Drosophila melanogaster: one gene and its partners. The protein of the gene in region 1 interacts with the protein of each later gene in a pairwise test. Each region holds a gene or a part of one and is shown in the gene's direction. Other genes may lie near its edges. The genes, in order: CG31955, inv, CG12299 and Coop.

Region 1 (3,123 bases):
GAATTTGTGAACCTGTAATTGCGTTTCCCAACGGCGGACAATCAGCTGCTCCGTGCCGGGATCGACGGCACAGACCATATAGCGATATTCCGTGTCACAGTGACGCGGAATATAGATCTCTCCTGTCCACAGATTACTATACTCATTGTCCTCCTCATTTTTGGACAAAATAGCCGCTCCCGAGTGCTGCCAGTTGCCCAGCGCCTCGCAATTACCCACTATGGCCAACTGCTCGTTGGGCGCCAGATCCTGGTTCATCAGCACCCGAAAGGTCCACAGTCTGTTGGTGGTAATGTCGCCAAAGATCCGGCGGGACTCCAATCGACTGCCGTTTTCCGAGGACGCAGGACAGGATGATGGCGCAGCCATCGCATCCTCATCGCCGTTATGTGAGGCCAGCCAGTTGTGCATTCTGTGGGGATGGATAATAATTAATATCTATATATAATCCTTAGCTATATACACTTTGAATAATAGTAGTTAGCAGCAAAGAACTAAACTAATTGTTGAAACTCAGTATAATTGTATTGTATTGCATGCGCACAAGTAATTTATGCCAACTCTCTCTTTTTTTCGAGTACTACTGTGCTCGTTAGCGTATACGCACTGTACTTCAATTATTTTCAGCTGCGGTCACAAGTTGTTTATTGTATCGAGCGCAAGTAATTCGAAGATATTAACACAACATTAATTTCACTTGCAGTCCGCAATTGTTTTTGGTTTCCCTTATCAGTGGATGACGTAAATAAATAACTTGTATCACTTACTTTGCGTTGTTGTGTGCTGAAATAGAAGAATAAGCCGAAATCGCTTTGTTTGGATTCGATTTCTCGCTCTCCTCCACTTTCTCTCTCTTTGATTTTCCTAGATTTTCTGTGATTTTCCTACGCGTACACGAAACTATAACAAACGTGTGCAAATTGAGGAGTCGCCCGATTTTTTGATCATAGCAGCTGTTTTTGGTTTTTGCTCACGGATTTCAGCTAACAACACATGATGTTTTTCTCTTTTCGTGGCGGGGGGGCTTAACTCTATAATGTGGATATAACTTTATATTATCTGAACGATTTCAGCGCCGCAGGGGCTTCCGATCCCCTTGAAACTGTGAGTTGCATTATTTTGTTATCTATATATCCACTGACCGATTCTAGCGAGGGATGTGAAAAGTATTTGAATGTCAAGATATCGATAGGTTTTTGATGAAGTAAATATTTTCACAATGCTAAATGCCTAAAGCACTTAAAAATAGTAGATGCCTTTTTAGATATATACTACATACTACTTACTTACACGCACTTAAAATACAAGTTTTATATTTGATATTTGAGCGCATTCTCACAGGTTGGCAACGCGAACAGCTGATTTTTAGGGTGACCGTCTTCCGCAACAGAGTATCTCACAGTTTTCGAAAAGTATCTCAGCAATTTAGGCAAAGTTTCTGAACTTTCAGTTACTACTTAATAAAAAGTTTGTTGGTTGTTTACCTAGCTCAAGAGATTCTTTCAGATTTAATTTAATAAAACCGGTAGCTTAGGATTATAAAATTAACTTTGACTTTATTTAATGTCCCTCCCGCGCGAATGCAGCTTAGTAAAAATGAGTCATAGTGTTCAGATCTGCCTACATTCCAGAAGCTTGCAGTATTCAGTAGACATCAGTCGAGCGCAGAAGCTCTTCGTGATAAGACGTCTTCAATTCAAATTTTTTTTATCGAACACACCATGGAGGGGGACAAGGTAGTTTTTCATAGTTCTGATCTACCATACGAATATTTATACGACGACGAAAAACACGTTTCGCACATGCCGGATTCCAAATTAAGTGTACGAAATATTTTGGATTCAGCTTACGCTTCTGCTGAAGGCAAAATTATAACTAGGAAACTTTCGCGCAGCATTCCGCCGTATCCGCATGCTGTTCGAGTAAAAAATGGCATTCGTGTTTATGAATACAGTGAGCCCAGAAAACAGAGCTACAAATCAAGTTTATGGAAGGAGGCCTACAATGTGAGTAGGAATCGAAGAACACATGCTGGACATTTTACTTGCTTTATTTCAGATACTCCACCAGCGGTTGGATATTGCCGAGCCAATCGCAGCAAAGGAACACGTGAGAACGCAGATACATCCGTGTCTGCACAAGATCAAAGGACTTCTAGATCCGGAAACCTGCATCAAGTGTCCGCGGTGTCATAAGTCCATTTCGTCCACCAAAGTTGTGAAAAGCTTTGCATAGTGACGAATGCAAGCCACCTTCAACATATATATCTATTATAGAGGTTCAATATATGCTCAAATCAACACATGCATTTATATATATATATAATATAAACAAAGAATGCAACAGCCCTACAGATGAATCGTCATTTTCTTCTGTCATTTTGCTAGCTGTAATTAAAAGGGAACGGGAAATGTGCTCTCGCTTACTGATTATAGATAATGACTTTGATTTTGAAATAAGGAATGCAAAGAATACTCATTTTCGTATTCACTTCCATTTTGGCGGACTTTCTTTATCAGTAAACAAAGTGGAAGAAGAAGAAACGAGAAAGGTAAACAAGTCAATACAAAACAGTTGTTTGGAAAATGTGCCATAGTTACCAAGTGCCTGCACCAATTTTAATATCAAAACCAATTATTGAAACTAGTTATATAAGTATTTTTATTTACATTCAATGCATTTATAAATAAAATAAATCAAATAATTTAAGCTTACTAAATCAATCAGCTTGTGACAGCCATCACTTTGATAACGATAGTTGGCAACTCTGCCATCGAACAGCTGTTAATGTTTGCCATTTTGGCGCGAAAATACCAGTGTAACAATTTGTTTATATATAATAGGATTTTATTAAGTTGTTTGTTGGACGCTCGTTTGAAACCAGTATGGATCAGTATCCGGACGAAAACGAGGAGTTCGAGCTGCAATACCAAGACGAACTAGAGCTGCTGGAGGACTTGCCGGACGAGTTTAACGCGTACGATGGACCGAGCACATCCAAACAGGCCGCTGAAAAGCAAAAGGAAAACAGAGCTCCCGTTGCGGCACTAAGAGATAGCACCCGTCTTGGAAACTCTACACTGGGATCGCCACAGCTGTCGCAGATTACCTTTGGAGCTAGCC
Region 2 (4,829 bases), on another chromosome or scaffold:
TAAGGGTTAAGTGACAGAAGCTCGACTGTATGAAACTATTTTCTTGTACTCCATTCCTTTTCCTAATCATACTGCGTATAATTGTTTCTTTTGTCGAGGGCTGGAAATTAAGCCTGATTAATTCGTTTGTCGGTGCTTATACTATCGCAGTGTCGGCATCTGGCATTGGCTTCTTTGTAATGGTGCAACAAAGTTATTAAACTGGCTTGGATTGCTTTGCATTTCGGGGCGTGGTTCCACCAATACGATTCGAAGCGATAATAAAGCGCGGACAGCCCGAAAAACTCCATGATTCGGGCTTTATGGGTTCAACAGCAGCGATAAAAAGATCGCTGGAATTCCGATATTTTATGTCCAATCTGTCGGCGATAACGGAGAAAAGGTGCAACTTTGATAGTCGATTTCAGATATGAAATATGATACATTAACCGATTTCGGCTGTGTCACTAAAGAGGTCCGCAGCAAATGATGCAAATGAATGCAGCCATTCCTAGAAATCTTTTCGTGGACTACAACAAAGTTTTCTGATTTAATTAAAAGAGTGATCGGCATGCCCTGCACAACCTCACTTCAAACAAGGCAAACTCGTTTTCACCCCACACATGACACACACAAAAATGTCTCAAATACTTGAAAGGAAAGCTAAATACAGATTTATGAGCACAAAGCACAGCAACAATGCAGTATGTTCGCCAATTAGACAAGCCCAAGCAAACGTATGTCAAATTTTCATTGGCGGGAGAAGGGGCTACTTAAATTGGTCAGGAATGGAGGATAATTTCCATAGTACATGAACGAAGTGACTTAAATTCTAAAAATAATGTCTTATGTAAGTAATCATGAATATCAAAGTTTGATTTTTTTATTGATATCAGATTGATTAGCTTGTGGGACCAAATTTAAATTACAATTATTTTGGCATTACTAAGAGGTCTTTAAATGCCGGACAAGGTGTTCAGTAGAAACCCAGCAAGCTGATCATTATCCCCCCAGTGCTTTTGAATCTACGCCCATGATTAAGCGTATGCAATTGCACACGTATTGGTATTCATTTACGCAGAACTATCATCAATGTTGTCCGATGGGATGTGTGAAGGCAAAACGACAACAAACAATAAAACGGCGACAAAAAAGCATCAAAAGCAATTATGAAATCACGGCAGATGTTGGGGCAACAAAAATTGTGGTGGTGATTTATAAAGCGCAGCTAACAACAACAATGACATCAAAAAGCGCAAAAATGTTCGTTGTATCGGAGCAACAAGAACAATAAGTAAAAGGAAGCGAAGGAGTGAAGGAGACGGGGAAGCTGTGGCATGTGTTGTATATAAACAGGCACACACTCCATATGTGTGTGTGGGTATATAATGCTGGACGGCGGATAGGATGCCAGCAAAAAAGGACTGCAGATGCCAGACCGCAAAGAGGAGCGAAAGAAAGGGGGAGTGAAGTGATGATGATGGAGGAGGAGGGCGAGAGCAGCCTACATAGAGTGAGATTTACGACTTAAATGCTGCAGCGCATAATCAAAACGACAAGGCGCAGATGGAAATGGAGTGGAGTTCTTATCCCTATTTTCCTTCTTTTTCGCTTTTTTCTTTTTGCGGCGACGACGCACTTAATTAACAAATATACAAACACTTAACATAACCTCAACTGACAGGCGGCTGACCGTGTGCGCGAGCGGGACAACAGTAGGGCACGCCCCGCAGCCGCTGATTGGATGTTCGAAAAGCCAGAGCAGGACGGAGAGTGAGAGAGAGCGTGTGCGAGAGAGAGTTCTCTTTTTGAATCGGCTCTCAGCTGCAGCCGTCTCGCTTTGCTATTCAGTTCGCGAGAGAATCAGTTGGTCGGCGGTTCGTAACAGCGCACGTTACGTTTTTAACGGACGAGCGGATTAACGTCGGTATCGACAAGTTTATCACCCAACCCAAAAACCAATTGTCAATCGAAGACGATAGCGCGGCGTATTTGCCAATCCAAGTGATATCTTTTGGCTGTGGTTAATGTTTTTAATGCTTTCTGGCTGCCCTGAAATGCCGTCGGCTTTTGGTCCCTGTGAACTTTCGAGCTGAAGACCTAAGCCCTCAAACTGATGTCCACCTTGGCCAGCACTCGACCGCCCCCGCTCAAGCTGACTATTCCTTCCTTAGAGGAGGCAGAGGACCACGCGCAGGAGAGGAGAGCGGGCGGAGGTGGCCAGGAAGTAGGTAAAATGCATCCGGATTGCTTGCCCTTGCCGCTTGTCCAGCCGGGCAACTCGCCCCAAGTGCGGGAGGAGGAGGAGGACGAGCAGACGGAGTGCGAGGAGCAGCTGAACATAGAGGATGAAGAGGTCGAGGAGGAGCACGATTTGGACCTGGAGGATCCGGCCAGCTGCTGCAGTGAGAATAGTGTCTTGAGTGTGGGCCAGGAACAATCGGAAGCAGCACAGGCTGCGCTATCCGCTCAAGCTCAGGCCAGGCAGAGGCTTTTGATCAGCCAAATCTATCGACCGTCGGCATTCAGCAGCACTGCTACCACTGTTTTGCCGCCCAGCGAAGGTCCGCCCTTCTCACCCGAAGATCTCCTGCAACTGCCTCCCTCCACTGGAACCTTCCAGGAGGAGTTCCTGCGAAAGTCCCAGCTGTACGCCGAGGAGCTGATGAAACAGCAGATGCATCTAATGGCCGCCGCCAGGGTGAACGCTCTCACGGCAGCGGCGGCGGGAAAACAGCTGCAAATGGCAATGGCGGCGGCGGCGGTTGCCACAGTGCCCAGCGGTCAGGATGCACTGGCTCAGCTGACGGCCACGGCATTGGGTCTGGGACCCGGTGGAGCGGTGCATCCCCATCAGCAATTGCTACTGCAAAGGGATCAGGTCCACCACCATCATCACATGCAGAATCACCTGAATAACAATGAAAATCTGCACGAAAGGGCGCTCAAATTCAGCATAGACAATATCCTGAAGGCGGACTTTGGTTCCAGATTGCCCAAGATTGGTGCTTTAAGTGGCAATATCGGTGGTGGCAGTGTAAGTGGGAGCAGTACTGGCAGCAGTAAAAATTCTGGAAATACCAATGGCAACAGATCTCCCCTAAAGGCGCCCAAGAAGTCGGGAAAGCCACTGAATCTGGCTCAAAGTAACGCCGCCGCCAACTCGAGCTTGAGCTTCTCCAGCTCGCTGGCGAATATATGCAGCAACAGCAACGATTCCAATAGCACCGCCACCAGCAGCAGCACGACGAACACCTCGGGGGCACCAGTGGATCTGGTCAAGTCGCCACCGCCAGCGGCAGGAGCGGGTGCCACAGGAGCATCCGGTAAATCGGGCGAGGATTCCGGCACTCCCATCGTTTGGCCAGCGTGGGTCTACTGCACCCGCTACAGCGATCGTCCCAGCTCAGGTGAGTCCAAGTCTCTTTAAAAATTTTGCTTCAGTTATCTAAGTTGTCTAGCGAAACATAAGTACAAATATTGATGAAATAATATTGTATATTTCTACGTTTAACGTACTTTTTATGAACTTTGTGAATGCAAATATAGTTTATGAAATTACGTTTTGGTGTTTTGAATACTAATCTTCATAAGCTTGAAAGAAAAGCCTTTGGTTTCAAGTTTTCTCGTTAACATACGATTCTCCAGCACCATGCCAGTATTATTATAGATATTCTGTAGTAGATCCTGGCAAAATTTATTTACTTGCATATGTTTCTATGGATATTTCCTGCATTTTCTAAAGCATCTTACATCTTATGCTAAAGCAGTGCACTGCTAGTCACTCACTCTTTCTCCAAACTCAAACACACTCGAGGAGACGAGCTGTTGAGTGGTGGCTCATAAAGCGGTTGTGCAAACAAGCGACAGACACCACAGAAGAGCCGGCGAACGGAGCCAAACCACAGCAACCCACAGCTCATTAGTTTGCCAACCACCGAAATGAAGTGAGTGCGAGCGAAAGGGAGGCGAACACTCACCCCGAAGTGAAGTGTCTGCTCGAGTGGTTTTCATGTCCTTATGGCTTATGTAACATAACTTAAGCTCATTATGCCGCTACACCCCACCCACCCCGTGTGTGTTTTTGTGTGTGCAGCACCACCCCAACCCGTCGAGAACAACCCCAAAACAATCTCCCAGCAATCATGGCACTCTCATGAATTTAGTTTATGCCACCGCAGGGAATTCGTAATCGTTTGCCTAATAATTTCATGGCTGAAATTTGGGGGGGAATCGGATGGGTGGGAGTGCCCCATATGCTCATTTATGGGGTGGCTTATTGCTGTTTGAACAAGCAATTCGGATTCCTTGATAGTTTTTGGCTAATCCCCTGGAATCTCGGGTAAGTCCATGGATCATGTGGTTCAAGTGGCGAATGGAGAGTGATTTAAGCCACTTGATGGCAGTCATTTGGTTAAGGTGTTTACCTTTATTAGCTTGCTCAGCTAGTTTATTATCGGTAATGAATTGCCAAAGGTTTACTCAATAGACTGAATGCATTTTATCACAGATACTTGATATTATAACACAATATTAAAACGTTTAAGACCTTACTAAACTTTGGTGTTCAACAGAGTAGTTGACAATAGCATTATTCAATTACAATATCAGCCTTAAATGGGCATATAATTACGAGAGTTACTTTATCTTTAACTAGTTAAATTTAATTGCTTTATTAAGTATCATTGAATGCAATTTGTAAGATTGCCGAGCTCAGCTGTTTAAGCACTTACGACAGTTTTTAGCCAATTATCCACACGTTTTATAGATCTTAATACACCAGCTTGAAGAAAGTAACGTTGAAATATCAGTAAATAATTGTAATTCATCCATCAAAAGTCGTCCCTTCT
Region 3 (5,825 bases), 7.0 Mb from region 1:
GCTGTATGACCTCCTTCTCGCTGCCGCCGAGCGTGGGGCCATCTTGCATCTCATCATCCGCCTGCCTGTCCGTCTGCAGCAGGATGCGGTCGTAGAAGAGGGCGTGCAGCAGGCGCCACGTGTTTATCTCCTGTCGCAGCCAGGTGAGCATAGACTCGCGTTGCCGCGCGCCCTGTTCCCCACCCATGCCGTGATCGATCTCCAGCTCCAGCTGCTCCACCACGCCGCGACAGACTTGCGTCAGCGATTGGATCACCTCGAATGCCTCCTGCCCGTTACCCTGAGCCTGCAGCACGTCGAAGAACTGCGGGAAGAGCACGTCCATGCGGCTCTTGCCCCGATCCAGATCATCGCCGGTGTCCTCCATCAGCGAGAGCTCATTCTGCTCCGCGTTGCTCTTCTCGAGGATGAGCAGCGAGTGGGAGAGATTTTGCGGCGGCATCGAGCTGTTCAGCGTCGTGCGTAGCAGGCCACTGCGGCTGCTCCTCGGGAACGGGCTGTCGGCCATGGCTGCACTATGCGTTTCTTGGCTATCAGCTACGGCACATCAATTCAATTAATTTAATCAAAACAGAAATTCACGCGCTATTCGCTAAAAATGCCGGGAGCGTTCAGTGTTACCAGATGACGGAACAGCAAGAAAGCTCCCTTGCACATACACTTGTAAATAAGCGATTCTCACTGAATTCAAGCAAATTTCGTAAGAAACAAATTGATTTAAATTGTTTACATATCTAGTAATTCGGCAAAGCTGCTAAAGAATAAGGTACCAGCATTCCGTAGAATCATTAGTATGGGGTACCTCCATCGCGTACCGCAACGGCGTACCTGAAATGAGTACCACAATCGCGTAAAGAAATTCAAAAGGCATTTCAAATATTAAAGATCGATAAAAACGTTTCTTAACGAATTAAATATTTTAGATATAACAAATTCTGCTACTTAATGTTGACCGTGTACAAATAAATCCCAATGATCAGGCCGTAGAGACCGAGCACCTCGGCGAAAATAAGGATCAGGATCATGCCGATAAAGAGGCGTGGCTGCAGGGCAATGTGCCGCACGCCCACTTCGCCGACTTCACCCACTGCATATCCGGCAGCCAGTCCAGCAAATCCCACCGAAAGTCCAGCGGCCAGGTGTACATAGCCGGTGGGCAGCGAGTATTTGGGAGCAGGCGCTAGTTCCCCAGATAGGAGCACGGATACCACCAGACCGTATATGGCAATGATGCCCGCCATGACCACCGGAATGATGGACTTCATCACCAGCTCGGGACGCATCACCGCTGTGGCGGCGATTCCAGTTCCGGAAACAGCAGTTCCGTAGGCCGCTCCAGCGGAGGTCAGCACACTGGAGAATACGACGCCCATCACGCCATAGAACGGGGAGTACGGCGGATAGCGATCCAGCACGATTGGCGATATACTGGTTTCCTTCAGCTTGAGACTTTCAATCAGCCCCGGCACGTCCACCGAATTTGATCCGTTATACACTGGCAGATAGTAATCCATTTCCATTTTGGTAGCCTTTTTCGTATTTACTTGAAAAGGAACGATCCACGTTGCTTGCTTTCTGGATTTTCCAACTTGTTAGTCTGACTAGCCTGTAGTTTGGCAAGAAAGAAAATCCAAGGGGAACGAGATGAGCAGTTTATATTTAATATTAATATTATTTAAGATGTTAGGGCTCAATTCAATAATTTTAGCAACTTGTTAAGTGAAATTAAACACTAATAATAAAACTTGCTTAGATTTAGGCACTCGAAATTAAATTAAATATTATTAAATGTTTAAAACCTTCGAAAGATGTAACAATCGATTGCGGTTTGAATTTGAAGCTGCGCGGTTTATCGGTCATCATGCTGGCGACGTGCACGAAACGCTTGCATGACGATATGCTGCCGTCCAATCGTGCAAGGGCCGCCCAACATAAAACATTTTTCTTTTATTTGTTGTACGCACGGCGAAGACGCTTGCAATTGCGATTTTGGCTCTGCAGAATTGCGATTGGGCGATGCGCTGCATTCGCTCGAGTCGCAGCTCCTGGCAGTCGCAGCTAACCAGACAACGGGTCGGAGGACGGTACGCGATTCCGGCGACCCACGGAACCGAGCAGCCAAATTCAAAAACAAGCGAGCACCGAAAACAGGAAGCAAGTTATTCGCATTTCGCTGGCGGCGCATAAAATGGAACGCAGTGGACGAATGTGGACGAGAGCCCTGAGAGAAACACAAAAGCACGGAACCTGAGCAACAGCACACACCAGTGATATAATAGTAGTCTACGGAACCCCTGATCCACGGCACTTCGCATCTAATCTCACCCAAGGTACGGCATTGATTTTTCTCCCCGCAAACGCGCATTTTTATTATAGAGAAAATGTTCACACGCTCGTCGCTTGTGTTCCTTGTGATTTTTGTTGTTTGATTTGCACAGCCTTTTGGCAAGATGGCCGTGCAGCTGAAACAGAGCTACCACCACCTGCCCCTGACGATCACGCCAATCCTGCAGCAGACGCACCTCCTGCCGCAACAGGCACCCAATCCACCCCAGCAGCAACCGCAGCAGCCACAGCCGCCGGATCTCACCTTCCACTGCATGTGCTGTGCGGAGTTCTTCGTCCATCCGCTGGCGCTGTACCAGCACATGAACACCCTGCACCCCCATGAGCCGGGCAATGGACAGCAAGAGCAGGAGAGCCCGGGCGACGAGAGCGAGGACTACAGCTGGATATTCGAGCCGGTGTGCGAGCTGGCGGAGGATGGCAGCGACTCGTCGGATGGGAGCGCCTCCTCGGGCTCCGACAGCTCCTCGTCGTCGGACGACGACGATGACGATGACGACGACGACAGCAGCAGCTCCAGTTCGAGTTCCAGCAACTCGAGCTCATCAAGCAGCTCGGTGCCGACCACCAGCAACTCCAATACCCAGCAGAGCCAGGAGTCAGTGCAGCCACTTCACGGCCTGGTTGCCGGTCCGGGCTACAATGAGTTCCAGCTGCAGATGACAGATCCGCGGGAGTCCACCTCCATATTCATGGTGCAGCCGACCGTAAGCGTCACGCCCTTGCAGCAGCTACTACCACCGGCACCCACTGTTAGCCCGGGATTGGGCCTGCAATCGACGCCCATCAAGCGGCGGCGCGGAAGGCGGAGCAACATCGGTGCACCCGTGATGGATCCAGCGTTGAATGGCAACCAGAAATGCTTCCAGTGCACGCACTGCGAGGCGAGCTTTCCCAACGCCGGCGATCTGTCCAAGCACGTGCGCTCGCACATCACCAACAAGCCGTTCCAGTGCTCCATCTGCCAGAAGACATTCACGCACATCGGCAGCCTGAACACGCACATCCGCATCCACAGCGGCGAGAAGCCGTACAAGTGCGAGCTCTGCCCGAAGGCCTTCACGCAGTCCAGCAGCCTGATGGTGCACATGCGCTCGCATTCGGTGCGCAAGCCGCATCAGTGTGTGCAGTGCGACAAGGGATTCATCAACTACAGCTCGCTGCTGCTGCACCAGAAGACGCACATCGCGCCCACGGAGACGTTCATCTGTCCGGAGTGCGAGCGCGAATTCAAGGCGGAGGCGCTGCTCGACGAGCACATGCGCATGCATACGCAGGAGCTGGTGTACCAGTGCGCCATCTGCCGCGAGGCCTTCCGCGCCAGCTCGGAGCTGGTACAGCACATGAAGAACCACATGGGCGAGAAGCCATTCACCTGCTCGCTGTGCGACCGCTCGTTCACGCAGTCGGGTAGCCTGAACATCCACATGCGCATCCATACCGGCGAAAAGCCGTTCCAGTGCAAGCTATGCGACAAGTGCTTCACACAGGCCTCCAGTCTGAGTGTTCACATGAAGATCCATGCGGGCGAGAAGCCCTACCCGTGTCCCATATGCGGCAAGTCGTACAGCCAGCAGGCGTACCTCAACAAGCACATCCAGGCGCACCAGATGGCTTCGGCCGCCTCCGCATCCACGTCGCCTGGCCTGCTGGTCGCCAAGCAGCCGCACGAAACACTCGTTTGCATTGTCTGCGGATCGTTGCATGCGGATGCCACTGCACTGGCCAGCCATGTGCACAGCCAGCACGCAGCGCTGCTGGACACGATGAAGCAGTCCGGAATGAACACGGCGCCGGGCGGAGCGATTCCAGACGTCAAGTGCAGTGCAGAGGAGCAGCAAGCCTATGTGGAGCGGGTTCAGTGCGTCCTGCAGCAGATGAACCATCAGCAGCAGCATCAACAGCACCAGCAACAACCTCCGCAACAACAACAGCAACATCCGCAACAACAACAGCAGCAGCATCTGCAACAACAGCCGCATCAGATGCAGCTACCGCAGCAGCCCAAGTTGCCAGCCATGGACTCCACCGGCGAGGACGAAGAAGAGCCCGACGAAGCGGAGGAACCGCCGGATGAGGAGGAGGAACAAGATGAACCAGAGGAGCCGGCGGAGGTGAAAACGGAAGTGCTGGCAGCAGAGGACGCTCTCACCAATCCGGGCTATCCCATTCTCGGGCTGCAGGAGGAACAGATCCTGCTAGACTCTGACATGTACTACGAGGACTTCGGCGACATGGACGTGGGCTGTCAGGAGGAGGTGTTCGGCGACTTTGTCGTCAACGAGGAGGAGGTTTACACCGATGCGCTCATCTAGATCTAGGTACTAAGATTTGGCCATAGTTTACGAAAGTAATTCATATTTACATTGAAAGGCACGACAGTTCTTAACTACGTTTGGATCACAAAATGTGCTGACCGCACTTTTTTTATACACTTAATTTTGTTTAATGATGTCGTGTGGTATTACAGAGAAGACATTTGTCGGAAGTGTTCCAAAAGTACTTAACTCACAGTTTATCGTTGTTAGGTTACCATGTAGGATTCCCAGAGCACACAACAAACCTTCAAAGTTTCAACTCGGTACGCGAAAGATCAGTTACTTATCTATTAACCATGGAACCACCAAGAACCTTTTTTTTTTTTACTAATCATAAGATCAAAAGCGATTTTGTGAGCATTCCCAGTACAACTTGTGGCACATTTTGGGCAACCGAAAGCGAAATTCCAGTTTTGTATCTCATATCACACGAAGCCCACACGACTAAAGAAGATTGTCCAGGAAATGGACGTATTGTATTTGCATAGTATCTTACAAAGATATTACATTTTGTTAGTATTAAGCCCTACTTTATGCTGCTCATTTTACATCCCAAGGGATATACCCTTACCCAAGTTGGAGCCACAACGACTCCAACTATTCCACGTCGCGTATTTCCCAGAATCGCCTGAAGAGATTACATTAATCGTTATATTTAAGCACGCAGACTTGTCTTTTTTGGGTAAGGCTTTTGATTTATTCACTGTTCTAACAGTGGAACTCTGGTAAGAGGTACAGGATCATAATGGTTTTTATTGTATTCATTTGTGTGGACTCTTAAATCCTAGTGAAATTTCCCGCTGCAGAAGCGCCCATCTTGTCAGGTTCATTCAAATCCAGTGTGGGATCCGTCTCCACCACTCCGAACATCCCAGGCAGTAGATAGCCACCGGTCAGCGGATAGCCCGGATCCAGTTGCTCGGGCGGAGCGATGAGCACATCGTCACCCTGGTAGACGTAGGGCAATCGGATGATCCAGTAGGCGCTCTGTGAGAGGCGAGGCGGTACTATGCTGCCCATGGTGAAGGTGTACCTTCCCACGCACACCTTGGGATCCACGATGATGTTGACCGGCGCCTTGGGCGTCACCACATGGATGCGCATCAGCTGCGCCAGAAAGTTGTTCTGGGATCGGCAGGGACAGGGATAATAGAGCGGCAT
Region 4 (4,202 bases), on another chromosome or scaffold:
CTATTATGACCGGGAGTCAGGCGGTAGGTAATCCTTCCGGGGGGAACCGAAAGCGATGCTCATCCGCATCTCTGCCCCTGGAGGACGAGGACAACAACGTCGAGGAAGAACCCAGCCTGTCCACAGTGTAAACGACATCTCTATCACAATCACCATCATCATTATCATAACCGAGCGCAGGCGCTTTCGATTCGGTTGGGCCAGGCGATGTATTTGCAGGGCGCTTCATTACCATTACCACTCACTATAAATATGCATACTGTACGTGTAGTATATACCATATGTCTAAACATATATATTCCAGATTCTTAAATCGACATCTCTCATAACCCGTAAAGAATTTCTCTATTGTTAAGTGTGCGATTCGTCTATTTGTTACATGTGCGTGTGGATTCCGGAACCAAGTACTTATCGCTTATATATACAATATATTTTCGCTCAATCCTTGAGTTTCGTTGAATGTCAATAAATGTAATATGTATATCTGTAAAGTCAATTCTATTGTTTTGTCGATATTTGACCAAATGTTTTAAAACCTCCAATAATTTAATGAATTTCAATTCTCAATTTACGAAAGTAATGTATGATCAGAAAAGATAAATATATATGTACATCGAAAGCTTTGTAGACTCACAGGTAAGATTCGCTACAAATCAGATACTAATATTACATAAAAGTACATCTTAGATATCTTAGATGAGCATGATTTATTTTATTTGGTTCAAAACAAAGTATGCATCATATTATTAATTTATTCGGCCTAGTATTTTCCCCTTTAAAAGCCTTTGTTTACATATAGAAGAAACAATATTTAAACGAAAATTAACCAAATTTTATCAAATATGCATTAGTTTAATCGCTACTTAAAAGACAAGCTGACGGATTTCAAATAACCATCTTAACGAAAGATCAATCGTACTCCGTATTCCCTAAAAGTTAACCGGATCGGAAACAAAGAACCGGTCCGTATAAATATACATACATATCTCGTATACATAGATACTTAGGTATGTCTGTATCTTTTCCCCAGTTTTCTTTGCAAGGCGTTCTTGAAAATGGCCAATTACGGTGTTGGATTCCCATTTATTGGCCGCATGTCTGTCCACGTACATTGTGCATACGAATGTGTGTGTGTGTTTTTCGCACTGTGGGTAGAAAGACGAGTATAAATTGCGGCGAGGATCAAATGTCAGGCTGAAACCCAACCGCAAAGCTACAGAAGATCTGATAAATAACCCCGGTCGCCACTTGTCATGTCTGCTTCACTTGCATTTTCGCAGTCCCAAGAAGAGGAGACTCAACCCGAAACGTGCAAGCATACACGTATAAACATTAATATGTACGTGTGTACACATATACAGACAACGGATACAGTCTTCGGTTCCAGGCTCACGATCGTTCCAGCTGGAGCTTTTGTTCCCACACACCCTCGTCTGTATATAGAAATGTACATATGTATGTGCGCTGTGGCGGTGGCTCCACTGGCGTGGCGTGAATTTTGTACGTTCCCTCCAGCTCCATTTCCAAGCGACCCAGCCAGCCGACCGTAGTAAAATCCAGTTTTGATAAAAATAAACAAAGTACACTACACCGCTCTCTATACGCTACACTATGAATTTCCAGTCTCTGCGGCTGGGTCACCTGGAAAAGGATCTCCTTTCGCGTAACGGGAGGGTGGGCCATAGAGCTCTATGTAAAGACTTTTACCGCTAAAGCGCGTGACATGTCCGCTCAAGTCGCTGTACGGGTGGAATTCTATTGCAATAGCCGTTTTCGGTGCAGAGCATATTAGATTCGTTACGGTGGGCTCACAATGGCGAAGTTAACAACCGTAAAAAGCGCAAATACGACACAGAGTTGCGGCCAGCGCAGCGGAAGCTTAACATCCGGATAATATTGCCAGGCAGCTCAGTTGTTGTTCTGCCGCCTCGCCTGCGCCTGCTTCTTCTTCTTCTGCTTCTCCTGCTTCTTCTTCCTCTTCTTGGGTCTTCTGTTCGTGGCAAAGCCTGTTGCTCAAGCCTCTCTCCTCCTTCCCGATCCCGCAGCTCCGCCTTCGCCTTTGCCTGTGCCGTCGCAACCAGCTCCGTCCGCTCTTTCCACAATTCTCTCTCGGCACCGCCAAAAGGCACGTAAACTGGTTGTTGCTGGCTGGGCCGTACACTTCGTGGTGCCCGTATTTTTCGTATTTTCAGTGCTGCCTGAACGCTTGAGCTGCGCGAGTCGCTTGCCGGGAAACTCGGAGTTGGAATCGGAACTGGATCTGGCTAACTAGCTATCGGGCTATCGGAAATTGGCCACTCGGATCTGGACATGGAGATGGCCTACAATGCGTCATCGTCGGCGGCCTCCGTCGGCTCTGCTTCTGCCGCCGCCTCTGCCACCGCCTCCTTCGCCTTCACCAACACCGCCAAGCTGCCCATCGAAACGGTGAAGCGCCTGATTGCCGCCGTCTCACGACGTCCGATGTTGTGGCTGCGCAACAATGCCAATGGCCAGAAGCGCAGCGACATCACGCCTGTTTGGTTCGAGGTGGGTCAGGATGTGAATTTGCCAGGTGAGTGTATGGCTGACTATTTCTCCTCTGCGCTTTCCGCTAAAATGACTCCCCCCTTTCACAGCCGACATCTGCCGAATTAAGTGGGGCCACCTGAGGGACAACTTTCGCAAGGTGTACATCCGCAATAACCTGTCCAATGAGACGCCCTCGTCGTGGCGCTTCTACAACGATATGCGGTTCATGGAGCCCGCCGTTCACGAGAATATCATGCGTCAGACGCGAAGCAGCAGCAAGAAGCACCCACCCGGACACTGGACGGAGAACAATAATGTGCTGGGGCCGGACAAGTATGACTCAATGCCCATTGTTGCTACGGAGCCCATATGCGAGCTCAGCCACAGCTATGACTCGGAGCTACACCAGCCCAGCTTCTCGGACATCAGTTCGTTCTTCGAGGATCGCGACTGCCAGCCGCCGGAGAATAAGAGATTTAAGTCGGAGCCCAGTCAGAGGGAGGAGGACGAGGAGGATGACGATGACTTCGACGAAGATGCCGCCTCGGAGAACTTGGAAGAGGAACGCGGCAATCGTGCCGATGCTGCCAGTTCCGGTGTATTCACCATAGAAGTGCTCGATGACGACGACGAAATGGAGCAGGCGGTGACCAAGACCAAGGCGAATAACACTAGCCACGGCGGATCCAGCCTGAAGAGCGAGCAGGAGGCCAAGGTGTTCTCCAATTCGCAGTCACCCACCGCCGATCTGCCATTCAAGTATATCAGCACGGATGTGGCCACGAATACGGATCCCTCTGGTGGAGATCTCCAGGACGAGGCGGATCGCATGTTCCTGCTCAGTCTGATGCCCTTCCTGCAAAGATTGGACAGCCGCCGGCGTCTGCGCGTGCGCCAGAAATTACAGAACGTGCTCATCGAGGAACTGGAGTTTGGCTGAGGACGCGTATATCCGGGGGAATGTGGGGAGATTTACTTTATAAGCCTAGCTTACAGTATTATAAGAACGCGACTGACTAACTCTGTGAATCTGCCTACATACGTAGCATGTAATCAGTATTCCGGCCTGCTTTCCTTCATACCAACACACTTCAATACATACCATATTGCATTACAATACATATTTACACTTCAAATAGACGATCACGCCAGCATGATTACTTGTTTCTTCCTCAGGATAACCGCTCACTTTTACCTGTATCTGCGCTCCGGTGCACCTGCGCCTTTTACCTGCGCACCCCGCCCGCAGTTCGAGTTCCCAATTATCCACGGTCACTGTTGCAATTGCATTTTTCCAGCCACGGGCGGCTCAAAATTTCTGTCAGTGCAAAACAAGTTCTTTAAGGGTGGTGCACGCGGCAACAACAACAACCACAAGGTGATTCCCTCCGCATTTTCGCGCCACATGCGCCGTTAATGCTAATGTACCGCGCTCTCGCTCGCTCTCTCCGCTCACCAATCACAATGCGCTCCGGATGGGCGAAACTTGGTCGAGCCTAGGCAACTTGATAATTCCCTTTTGGTGTGTTGTGTTTTTTGCCTGAAAACATCTCCCCATGTTTTAAAAATGATTCAAAGCTTTCGTTGAATAATGGCGGGCTTAACAGTTCTGCGATTTGCTTAATAGGGTCCAATTGGATGGAGTTTAACTTTCAAAAACTTTCGCTAAACAGAAAGCTCATCTTCTAATG

What was found.
Region 2: the proteins of CG31955 (region 1) and inv interact in a two-hybrid assay, tested with the Drosophila melanogaster proteins (one large-scale study listed by BioGRID).
Region 3: the proteins of CG31955 (region 1) and CG12299 interact in a two-hybrid assay, tested with the Drosophila melanogaster proteins (one large-scale study listed by BioGRID).
Region 4: the proteins of CG31955 (region 1) and Coop interact in a two-hybrid assay, tested with the Drosophila melanogaster proteins (one large-scale study listed by BioGRID).

What each region holds. Positions count from the first base shown.
Region 1 is NT_033779.5:3,711,381-3,714,503, reverse strand, and holds CG31955 (uncharacterized protein), read left to right. Parts: upstream 1-1,637; 5' UTR 1,638-1,721; coding exon 1,722-2,006; intron 2,007-2,058; coding exon 2,059-2,235; 3' UTR 2,236-2,278; exon of another isoform or gene 2,279-2,350; intron 2,351-2,435; 3' UTR 2,436-2,623; downstream 2,624-3,123. Other genes in the region: CG2818 (uncharacterized protein), read right to left, coding at 13-411; cutlet, read left to right, coding at 2,886-3,123.
Region 2 is NT_033778.4:11,473,881-11,478,709, forward strand, and holds the start of inv (invected), read left to right. Parts: upstream 1-1,827; 5' UTR 1,828-2,095; coding exon 2,096-3,389; intron 3,390-4,829. UniProt on the Drosophila melanogaster protein: Engrailed (en) and invected (inv) are functionally redundant transcription factors in neuronal precursor cell NB5-3 specification.
Region 3 is NT_033779.5:10,735,438-10,741,262, forward strand, and holds CG12299 (uncharacterized protein), read left to right. Parts: upstream 1-1,907; 5' UTR 1,908-2,330; intron 2,331-2,438; 5' UTR 2,439-2,450; coding exon 2,451-4,661; 3' UTR 4,662-5,325; downstream 5,326-5,825. Other genes in the region: Nup107 (nucleoporin 107kD), read right to left, coding at 1-508; Vha16-5 (vacuolar H[+] ATPase 16kD subunit 5), read right to left, coding at 939-1,520; CG6729 (uncharacterized protein), read right to left, coding at 5,442-5,825.
Region 4 is NT_033778.4:7,490,298-7,494,499, reverse strand, and holds Coop (corepressor of pangolin), read left to right. Parts: upstream 1-1,910; 5' UTR 1,911-2,310; coding exon 2,311-2,554; intron 2,555-2,618; coding exon 2,619-3,451; 3' UTR 3,452-3,664; downstream 3,665-4,202. Other genes in the region: CG1620 (uncharacterized protein), read left to right, coding at 1-131.